Drosophila melanogaster: one gene and its partner. The protein of the gene in region 2 interacts with the protein of the main gene of each other region in a biochemical or structural test. Each region holds a gene or a part of one and is shown on either strand. Other genes may lie near its edges. The genes, in order: PK2-R2 and ETH.

Region 1 (7,639 bases), on a different chromosome or scaffold from region 2:
AATACAGGCATATAAACAATTAAATGGTATAATCGAAATGAAAGAAAAAGAGAACTATAATAATTAAAAAAAAAAAAACCGTTGTTGTATTCTACTGACAGATAACTTTATATTTGCTGTGCCATCCTTTTTTCCTTTTTAGAAATGTAAAATCAGCCAATTCAAAGTGTTTTAAATGTCTGGGCTCATATCCACTATCTTGTCCTGGCAGACAAGTTTCATATTTTATTTATATAAGCCCCAACTCTTATATTATATTGCCTGTACTTAGGTGAAAGTTAGGGAAAGCAGTGCGCGGCAACGGGTTGGTCGAACTGCAAATGACTTTTGGCCTGCCCTCTCTGCGTGCAATAAAACTAAATGAATTGGAAACTTGCACAAAAATTCAACCAAACTGCTGACGAGGATGCCGCCGTCGCCTGATGACAGAGTCCTGGGCAAAAGGCAAAACTTCAAAATGCCAAACAAAACGCCCCGAATCTGATGTCATGCCCAATGTTCATAAAGAGCAAGGCAAACGAAAATCTCCCCCATTTTCCACTTTCTTGGCCATTTTTCTCGGCTTTCGTCAACAATTGGCAGCCAAAGTTTTGACTGGGAATGCCTTTGCAGCACGTGCTCTGTGTTTTCCCTTCCTTTGAATTCATGAGATACTCGATGTAGAAAATGTTGTAGGGTCCCTGACAAAGAAATGCCAACTCCGACCCTAGATTTTATATCCAACAACCACCAGTATTCATTGTTTGTTTAGGACTTTGTTTTGATTAAGTGCCAAAAAATTGTTTCGAATTATTTACATAAAAATTGAGAAATTGAATGCATGCAATGGATTTGATTTGTTTGCCTCGCGATTCGATTTTCCAAGCGTCTCATATACATTCGCTATATTTGTTTGCTCTTAATATATATCGCACCAACGCTGGGATAGGAAAATACACATTTTATGAGCCGCAAAGCTTTGATAGATTTTCCCGCACATAGCCATAAAAGTTAGGCCCCGGGGCACTAATAAAATCTCCCTTTGACTGATCATAAAACCACGGCATCATGTCCAATTTCGTGACTTGATGTCTGGGGCTCAACGGCGTACAAAGTGGTTGCACAAATTAATTTTAAGCAATTCGGATGTTTTCGCTACAGTAATAAAAGTTTTGCAGAGAAAATCGCACCATATAGTGGCAGTTACATCCAATTATGGTGCGCTGCAATGTAAATAAAATGCATTCATGCAGGAACATATGCATAGTATGCATATGCCAAGTTTTTAAATAGCAAAGTTATATTTGTATATAGTCTCAATTTTACAGAAATACCACGTTAAATCGTTTTCTCACTTAAGGGCACCGAGCGTTTCTAATCCGGAAAATTAGGTTCAGTATAATAAATTTCTGTTCTTATTCTTTGAGCGACCACTTCACCTTTTCCGAGCTGCCTTGACTTAAATTGATTGTGGTTGTCGGTTTAGTTGGGTTTTAAGTGGGCGACAAGGTCGGCATTGCATTGTCCTTTGGCTCTGTTAACATAATAATCAAACAATTTGCCGCCATGGGCAAATTAATACGCCACTAAATAAGATAAACTGCATGGCACTCCAGAATTATTTGCATTTTTATTACCCTTTTGCCGGGGGACCCTTCATATAAGGCCGAAAATCAGCAGCGCGCCGCCGCAGAGAACCGAAAAGCAACCGGTAGTTGTTCGCTGCCGACGTCGCTGTTGCGTCGCTGTTAACGGCAACGACCGTGGCCCGAACGGACTTCGTTGCCAAGATATTTTGGCCAAAAACCCAGTCAGTCGGATGCTGCGGCCCGTTGCTGTAGCCGCCGCCGTCGCTCTTTCGGTTCTTACGTTTTCGGATCATTTGACGACGAAATAAAACGAGATATCGGGAAAACCATCAATTTACGCGTGCCCCTCAGTCATAATTTTACGATTCGGAGAATCATTTTACGTACCAGAATTAATCAGTGCCATACGCAAATAGTTAAAGCCATTAATTCTGTGAGCGTGTATATCAAATTAAGCCCAACACGTTGCGGTCATTAATCAACATTTAGCACATGGTAAAAAACTGATTAGCTATATTGCAATAAAACACCTTAAAAACAAAACGAAATCACATCTCAGAGAAAGTGAGTGAAAGAATGGGGGGAGCACAGAGAGTGCAATGCTCGCAAATGCGAAGGCAGAGTGACAAAATCAAAACAGTTCAAAGCCATAAAAAATAAATGCATTCTGAAAAATGTGGCAGGCATCGTTTGATAAATTTAAATTAAACGTGTTTTAAATGCACAAACGATAGCCAGCCGAGTGTCGAGATATATAATTAATTGCCATTAGGCGGAATGAAAAGTTCCGAACAGGAGCACCGAAACAGTTGTAAACAAGTTGAAAATAAATAAGGCATTATCGGGGGCCTCAAGATCTACAGATTGCCAGTGAAATCCATTGACCCGAAACACTAATGGTGCAGAATCTATAATAACATATTATGCCTCAATGCGAACCGGCTTGCCAAGCGCAAAATATGGAAAATAATAGTAAACCAAATACAAAACTCACACTTTATGGACATGGGCGGGTGCATGGGCATAATTTTTTTCGGTGGGATGCCACACGGTCGATCATCGGAATCATCGGACAACGAAACGAAAACAGAAAAATGAATAAATGAAAACCAGTTTTATCGAATATACAATATAATAAAACCTAATTCGACAGCATTCTTTTGGTTGTGCATATATTGTAGAAACTTTTTTATGATAATGATAATGAAAACGTCCAAAAACGGTCAACAGCGGTCAGCAGCAACAATAACGAAAAGTATAGCCAGAATGTGAACAGAACAGAGCAGAACAGCAGCAGCCGAAAACACTCATCATCTGAATGGAATGAAACTATGTTAATGTTATTAAGTCACCCGGTGTCCATTTGCCATCGTCGTCTCCTTATCCGTCTTATCCACCACCTGACCTTGAGCTTCTGGCTCGTTTCATTCGTTTGCCACCTGGTGTTGGGTGGGAGACGGATCGGCAGGCCTGTCCTTCTCAGCCTTGTAGCAACATCCTTAAATTCATCCAGTGTACACAAATATTTTGACTAAATGCCACTTAGCAATTCAAATTAATTTTCAGCTTCCACTCGCCCTGATCCTGGTCTTTCGCCTAGGACACGCCTGACTGCCGCCTGCCAGTTTCCCAGGATGCCAGGTAAACACACAGGACACAAACACGCTTTAAGACGGGCTCTCTAAGGTGGACCTTAGCAAGCTAAACAAAGCGCACAGCTTACCAACCAAATTGTGTATATGTATAATTTATGGTAATTTAGAAATCTGGAGTAAAAAGCCTTAATGTTTGAATTTGTTTTATTACTAAATTCGTTAAAATGCGTTATTTGTCTTGTATTATTTTATTTAAATTTTAACAAATTTTGAAAAACATAGTTTTATTTAAATAGCACATAGGGTCCACCTTATCACACACATCCGTACACATAATTTAATCCCACACTCATGACAACAGATTGCAAGTGGAGTGGCTCTGGCCTAAGTCGAAATTGATGAGCCCCCGTAAGGGGCGTTATGAAAACATTATTTGCAAGCGAAAGCTTCGATTGAGAATACATACGCAGAAGTCTGAAATTTCCAAAGAAATTCGAAAATAATAGTGCGTATACACACACACAAAGACACACACCCTATGGCAGTCAAAATGCTGCCCACTAACAGTTCCGGTGTCCTGGCAACCGATCTACAACTGTTTCACAATGAGAAATTTCTCTTAAATCTGACACAAGTGCTGAACATCTCCGCGGACAACCTGACCAGCCTTCTCCAGGGCCTGGAGCCGGAGGAGCTTTTGCCCACGGTGACCCCGATGACACCACTTTCACTGCTGGCCACCCTAAGCGTGGGCTACGCCCTCATATTTATCGCCGGCGTTTTGGGCAACCTCATCACATGCATTGTCATTTCGCGGAACAACTTTATGCACACGGCCACCAACTTTTATCTGTTTAACCTCGCTATATCCGACATGATTTTGTTATGCTCAGGTGAGTGCAAAACTAAAATGTTCATGGTTTTTGAATTATAATTTAATTCAGTTCAGTAGTGCAAACAATAAATGGAACTGAGGCATATTAAATTAAAATTTGTAAATAAACAAGAAAATGTAGAGTGAGATATTCGGCAGATGCTCAAATCGATTTGCATTTTGAGGCTATAGGCTATAATTTCAGCTATTATTAAATATTTATAATCACACTATATATTTTGCTATTTTGCTATTTATGTTCTTAGGAATGCCGCAGGACCTCTATAACCTCTGGCACCCGGATAATTATCCTTTCAGTGACAGCATCTGCATATTGGAGAGCGTTCTCTCGGAAACGGCGGCCAATGCGACAGTTCTAACCATTACCGCGTTCACAGTCGAACGATATATTGCCATTTGTCATCCGTTCAGGTAAGGGAACCTTCATTCCTTCCACTGCCCATTTCCATTTTGCCCCAAACTTGCTTAATTGGTTCTGCTTTCGATACAGGCAGCACACGATGTCCAAGTTGTCACGGGCCGTAAAGTTCATATTTGCCATCTGGATAGCTGCCCTTTTGCTGGCCCTGCCCCAAGCCATTCAGTTCTCCGTGGTGATGCAGGGCATGGGAACATCGTGCACGGTGCGTATGATTGATGCGAGACCCTTAATCGTATGTCCCCCAGTTATGAGTTACCTGGTTAATTGATTCGTAGAACCGGTCCTTTGATCCTTTGATTCATTATGTGTTTTCCGTATAGAAAGTTCGAATAGAGAGCCTTTGTGAATTACAAAAAATTTAAGAGCATGATAAAAACAGCGACAATCCCTTACGAGGTTCGACTCAGTTTAGGCAATCAAATTTACAGCCATTGCCTTCCGGCTGTGGCTGTAAGCCAAAACCATATCGTATCGCATGCGAATACACATATATATTATTTTTGTGAAATGCCTGCTGTAGATGAAAAACGACTTTTTTGCCCATGTGTTTGCTGTGTCGGGCTTCCTGTTCTTTGGCGGACCCATGACGGCCATCTGCGTGCTCTATGTCCTCATCGGGGTGAAGTTGAAACGGAGCCGACTCCTGCAGGCGCTTCCCAGGCGATGTTACGATGTAAACCGGGGGATAAGCGCCCAAACGCGAGTCATCCGGATGCTGGGTAAGCAGGATATGAAATATCCGAAATAACTCATGGTTGCATCAGGCGCCCTTATCCAACTTTCCCAGTGGCGGTGGCCGTGGCCTTCTTCATCTGCTGGGCCCCCTTTCACGCCCAGCGGCTGATGGCGGTCTATGGATCCACCTCGGGCATTGAGTCCCAGTGGTTCAACGACGTGTTCAGCATCCTCGACTATACGTCCGGTGTTCTCTACTTCCTCTCAACTTGCATCAACCCGCTGCTCTACAACATCATGAGCCACAAGTTTCGTGAGGCTTTTAAGGTGAGTTTCGCTGCCGGATATTCATTTCTATAGCTTGCGTTAGGAAATTGAAAATAAGCTTCAGGTTACAAGTTTATTAATCGATTCTTTAACGGTCAATTTAGTGATTTTAAACTTCAAGCTAGAATTAAAAAACGTATTTAATCCCATTTTAGGTAACTTTGGCTAGACACTTTGGACTTGGTGGCAAAAATCAGGGAAGGGGGCTTCCTCATACTTACAGCGCTCTTCGACGTAATCAAACGGGTTCACTGCGGCTGCACACAACGGTGAGTGCACTGAGAAAAATTACATAATTATCATTCGATATATGCACTTAAATTCTATTATGTGGCATTATTTAAGAGGAAAATGAAAAGGATTAATATAGTGTATGTCCTGTTTCTCAAAATGAAATTTGAATCACGAGACTTTTTAAAACCACTATAAGATGTTTATTGCGTTACTTATTTTCGTGTCTGGCGACTGCACTTTCCCTTTCTGATTATCCCTCCATTCCTTGATTTCCTCCTGCAGGACAGCGTTCGCACCACAATGACTTCCATGGCGACGACCACCACTGGGCTAAATGGCTCTGCCAATGGCAGTGGCAATGGAACGACAACGGGTCAGTCGGTGCGCCTGAACCGCGTGTCCTTGGACAGTGTCCAGATGCAGGGTCAGAATCGCAGCCGGCAAGACCTCTTCGATAATCCGCGTCGCATGCTCCAGACGCAAATATCGCAGCTGTCATCGGTGGGCGATGCCCATTCCCTCTTGGAGGAGGATTTGCAGTTTCCCGGGGAGCCACTGCAGCGCCAGCCCACGATGTGCTCCATTGACGAGCTCACAGATGACTTGGCCATCTCGCGGTCACGCCTTAAACTTACGCGCATCACCCGCCCACCAGGAGGTGTGACGGGGGGCGTGGCAGGAGGCAGCACAACAGGGGCCGCGGGGTCGGGGGGCGTGAGCGGTGACGAGTCGAGTGGCAAAGTGCGCAAGGCGAAAGTGAAAGTGCTCAAGAGCTCAAGCCCGTTCAAGGGTCTCAGGACCAAATTCAATTGGCGTGCCAGACGCAAAGGCAGCCACAAACCGCACGAAAAGGGGGCGACGGTGAATGGAGGCGACACTGAAGAGCGGGCCGCCTTTTAAAGGGGGTCAGCATATCCTCTATCTGTACTCGATAAGCGAGGTAGTCCATTCCAGTGCCACCTACGTACATTACACACACACACAACTGTGATACGAGCAGCAAGCGCCACTCCAGCTTGTTTGTGTTTTAATTTAGACAAATATTCCGCGTTTGGGGTCAATTATATGGTTGTCCTTACCAATAACCGTAATATAGCCCAAAGCTATAGTTCGAATTATAGTTATAGTGCACGTAATCGAATAAACTATGTAGTTATGTACTCAGTTCAAAAATTCGACCGTTGTTTCATTTATAAAGTGGAGTTTAATAAAAAAAGAATGGACTTTTGATAAAAATAAAATGAATCTACATAGTTAAGCGTAAATAGTATTTGGAGTACAGTGATATATAAATACATATTAAGGTTGATACCCTAATGGTTTTATTATACAATTTAAATATAAAAGCGATCTCAGTTTTTTAAACAGCTGACCGACTTTGTTAGCAGTCCAATAGAAACTGTTATCTAATGTCAGTTTTTCAATATCCATTAATAACATTTCTCTTGCAGTAAATATTTTTTTCCCATTTAATGAATACATTTTTTTTTTTTGAAAGAGTGTGGATCAAGTGGGGATTATCAAGAAGAGGGTTCAATGGGCGTCTGGCTAATTACTGTCAGTAAAAAGCGGGCACTGCATCATAATCCCTGGCCATTAAGATGTTTATCTGGCGCACAAATTCGCTTTTTGGTCTGGAGTCTAGACAGTGGATGAAAGCCATTCTCGCGATTGGCCAACATTCGCTGAAAGCCGCTGTTGGTGACTAATTAGCAGCATGCCATAACGCAGTGTCCCAGTGCATTTTGTTTTAATTTCAGCAAATGCAATTTGTCAGGCAAACATAACGTGTGTGCAGCCTAAAATAAATGACTTTTAATTCATAAAGTGCAGCATATGTTGGGAAAATGTGGCTTAAACGAGTAACTGAAACCACAAAAAGTTTCCTTAATTTGCCCAACAGTTGCAAAATTAATGTTCATTT
Region 2 (3,522 bases):
GCGCGACTTAATTACTGGCAGAAATCCAAACTATCTGTGCGTCCATTTAACTAATAAATAAGGAGGAATAAAGGAGTTCCGATCCGAGAGCGAAAATGCCGGAGGCGGATAGGGAGCTGGTCAGCATCAGGCGCTTCCTGAAGGAGCGCCTCCAGCGAGACTACACCACCTTGAGGGGCTACGCAAAGGAGCGGTCCAATGTGCGCCTATTGCTGCAACGCACAGCTGAAATGGGGGAATCCAACTCCTTGCTGCTCCTTGGGCCGCGGGGATCCGGAAAGACAACGGTATGAGTGCAGGCCTTACCGGGAAACCAATCCAGTAATCTATGCTTTCAAATTCTTTAGCTCATCAACTCCGTGCTGGCCGATTTGCTGCCCAATAAATCGTTCGGGGAAAACACTCTCATCGTCCACCTGGACGGTAATCTGCACACGGACGACCGAGTGGCCCTGAAGTCCATCACTGTGCAGATGCAGCTGGAGAACGCTGCGGATGGGAAAGTGTTCGGATCGTTCGCCGAGAACCTCGCCTTCCTGCTGCAATGCCTCAAGGCGGGTGGCAAGCATTCCAAGAGCGTGATCTTTATTCTCGAGGAGTTCGACCTCTTCTGTGCTCACCACAACCAGACCCTGCTCTACAACCTCTTCGACGTCTCCCAGTCAGCCCAGGCGCCCATCTGTGTACTTGGCGTTACCTGTCGCCTCGACGTGATCGAGCTGCTGGAGAAGCGGGTCAAGTCGCGTTTCTCGCACCGGCAGGTCTTTCTCTTTCCCAGCTTGCGGCGCTTTGAGGATTACGTTGACCTGTGCAGGGATCTACTGTCCCTCCCGACCGGCAATTCACTGTTGCTGGCGGCGGAGAAAATCTATAACCTACAAAACATCCAGTCGGGGGCACTTTACTTCTCCCGCAACCATTTTGACCCCGGGGAGTACGGCTTTTCGCCCAGACTACGCGATGCCTGGAACAAGCAAATATGCAAAGTCCTGGCCACTCAGCAGGCAAGAAGCACCCTCCAAGCGCTCCATGACTTCGACATTAGCGAGGCCTATCTCAAGAACTTCCTATTCCGCCTGGTGGCACATCTCCGACCGCAATCTCCCCACATCACAGCCGAAAAAATGGCTGCAGTGGGATCACAGTTTGAGGGCGACGACAAGATAGAGCTGCTTTGCGGGCTCTCAGTCCTAGAGCTGTGCCTGATCATCGCCATCAAGCACCATTCGCAGATTTACGATCGCGATTCCTTCAACTTCGAGATCATTTACGCGCGCTTTTCCAAGTTTGCCAAAGTGTCCACCACAATGCAGGCCGTGGAGCGGTCCATTGTCCTGAAGGCCTTCGAGCATTTACGCATCGCAGAGCTGATCATGCCGCTCACCGGTGGAGCTGGAGGGGGCGTAGGTAAGGTGCAGAAAGAGTTTGAGATGCATAAGCTGGCGCTGACATACAGCCAGATTCACCACTGTATGCAGCGATACCAGGCCCTTCCCACAGAGGTTGCTCAGTGGGCGCAAAGCTCTCTGATTTAGCAGCAGATCAGAAATACTTTGTATATTTATTTATTTAAAAAAAATTGTACCGAATCATTTAGTTGGTAAAGCCCTGTTTTGGGAAAATAAACTAATTTTAATTTATAAAACGTATATAAGAGAAAAGACAAGCATTTACATACGCAAGTGGTATGTACTATAAAATTTAGTTCTTATACAAATGTAAGTAATGTAATGTGTATGTATGCACTTAATTATGGCCAGGCATTTAGGTCAGGTTAGTTCAGTTTTATCTGCTTTGCACTTTCCGATCGATAATGCTAATTCCTGGAGTCACCCGCATTTCTATTCCACGCAAGATGCGGGTGGATCTCGCTATATAAAGGCCACCAATTGTGGAGCAGGAGTCAGGTGAAGCTTCAGTCGCATCAGCATGAGAATCATAACAGTCCTGTCTGTTTCGCTCTTGGTGGGTCTTGTGGCCATAAGCCAGGCAGACGACAGTAGTCCAGGATTCTTCCTAAAGATCACCAAGAACGTACCGCGGCTGGGCAAGCGAGGCGAGAACTTTGCCATAAAGAACCTAAAGACCATTCCTCGCATAGGACGCAGTGAGCACGTAAGTTATACCCATGGGCTTTCTTAAAGGATATTTTTAAACCATGAACTGTTTTCAGAGCTCTGTTACTCCTCTGCTGGCGTGGCTATGGGATTTGGAAACGAGTCCAAGCAAGCGGCGCTTACCCGCAGGGGAATCCCCAGCGAAGGAGCAGGAACTTAACGTGGTGCAGCCCGTCAACTCGAATACGCTCCTTGAGCTGCTTGACAACAACGCTATTCCCAGCGAGCAGGTGAAGTTCGTCCACTGGAAGGATTTCGATCGTGCCCTCCAGGCAGATGCCGATCTGTACAGCAAGGTTATCCAGCTGGGACGCCGTCCGGACCAGCACCTCAAGCAGACTCTCAGCTTTGGCAGCTTCGTTCCCATCTTCGGCGACGAGCAGAATCCGGACTTTATGATGTACAAAAACAACGAGGATCAGGAACTTTACGGCGGGGGAAATCGCTACGATCGCCAATTCCTCAAGTACAACATCCTGTGAGATGTGGAGTATTCGATTTGAATACGGACAAAGGAATATGACATTATAGAAATACATGTAACTTACCAACACTGCTAGCTAGTGTGTTTCAAATATATCCGGAACCTTGAAAATGGTCCAAGAAAAAATTTAAATATCTTTTCAGTTGAATAATCCCAGAAAACAAATGCCTCTTTTGGTAAGTCCAAAAAACACCTCTAAAAACGATAGTAAACATAATAAATTTCGGCCATATGGAAATGACTCATCCTCTATCGCACGATGGTCTGAATATAACGTAAGTCTTCTCCAAGTCTTCATTAGAATGCTTTCCCATAAGTACGTAAATACAAAACCAAATGGAAAGAGAAAATCGAAATCCGGATTGCAGTTGCTTGGATCAGAGCCTTTCTTTATCGCATTCCCGGATGGAATCGAATGGAATCAGCACATTAACGGTGCTTCTTTGACCAGGTCCACTCCACTGCAATCCGCACCTCAATCTGGCGAGTCAACAACCCAGCTGTCTTCTTTTGGCGGGGATTTGGGGATGTGGGGTGGCTGACTCAACGCAGCGAGCTCGGGCTTATCAAATTTATGGGGTCCGTGATGTTAGGAAATTCCAGCGATCGCATTCTTCTGCTCCCTTTTACCGACTTCTACCTTTTAATTGAATTAAACGATCTGCCCGCGAATTGAATTCCCAAACAGGATGATGGCGCCGTCGCATTCTGGAATTTGATATGTTTATTTTGCTTAATTAGCGGGCTGCTGTTAAGTATGCTGACCAGAATTCGCCACAATCCAGTAATCCCGCGGCTCATCAACAACTTCAATTACAAGCCCGGCTTGATCGGACTCAGACGCGATGACGACGCAAACTTGACTTTGAAATTTTTGCAATGCCTCACTGATGTTCGACTCGGTGCTGGTTGTTATTGTTT

Evidence for each region.
Region 1: of the proteins of ETH (region 2) and PK2-R2, one has a biochemical effect on the other in vitro, tested with the Drosophila melanogaster proteins (one study listed by BioGRID).

Annotation. Positions count from the first base shown.
Region 1 is NT_033777.3:13,328,314-13,335,952, reverse strand, and holds PK2-R2 (pyrokinin 2 receptor 2), read left to right. Parts: upstream 1-1,786; 5' UTR 1,787-2,063; intron 2,064-3,114; 5' UTR 3,115-3,209; exon of another isoform or gene 3,210-3,524; 5' UTR 3,525-3,701; coding exon 3,702-4,056; intron 4,057-4,303; coding exon 4,304-4,469; intron 4,470-4,548; coding exon 4,549-4,681; intron 4,682-4,999; coding exon 5,000-5,198; intron 5,199-5,266; coding exon 5,267-5,481; intron 5,482-5,636; coding exon 5,637-5,750; intron 5,751-5,997; coding exon 5,998-6,615; 3' UTR 6,616-6,883; downstream 6,884-7,639.
Region 2 is NT_033778.4:24,793,866-24,797,387, reverse strand, and holds ETH (ecdysis triggering hormone), read left to right. Parts: upstream 1-1,905; 5' UTR 1,906-1,929; coding exon 1,930-2,115; exon of another isoform or gene 2,116-2,173; coding exon 2,174-2,599; 3' UTR 2,600-2,718; downstream 2,719-3,522. Other genes in the region: Orc4 (origin recognition complex subunit 4), read left to right, coding at 96-287, 348-1,535.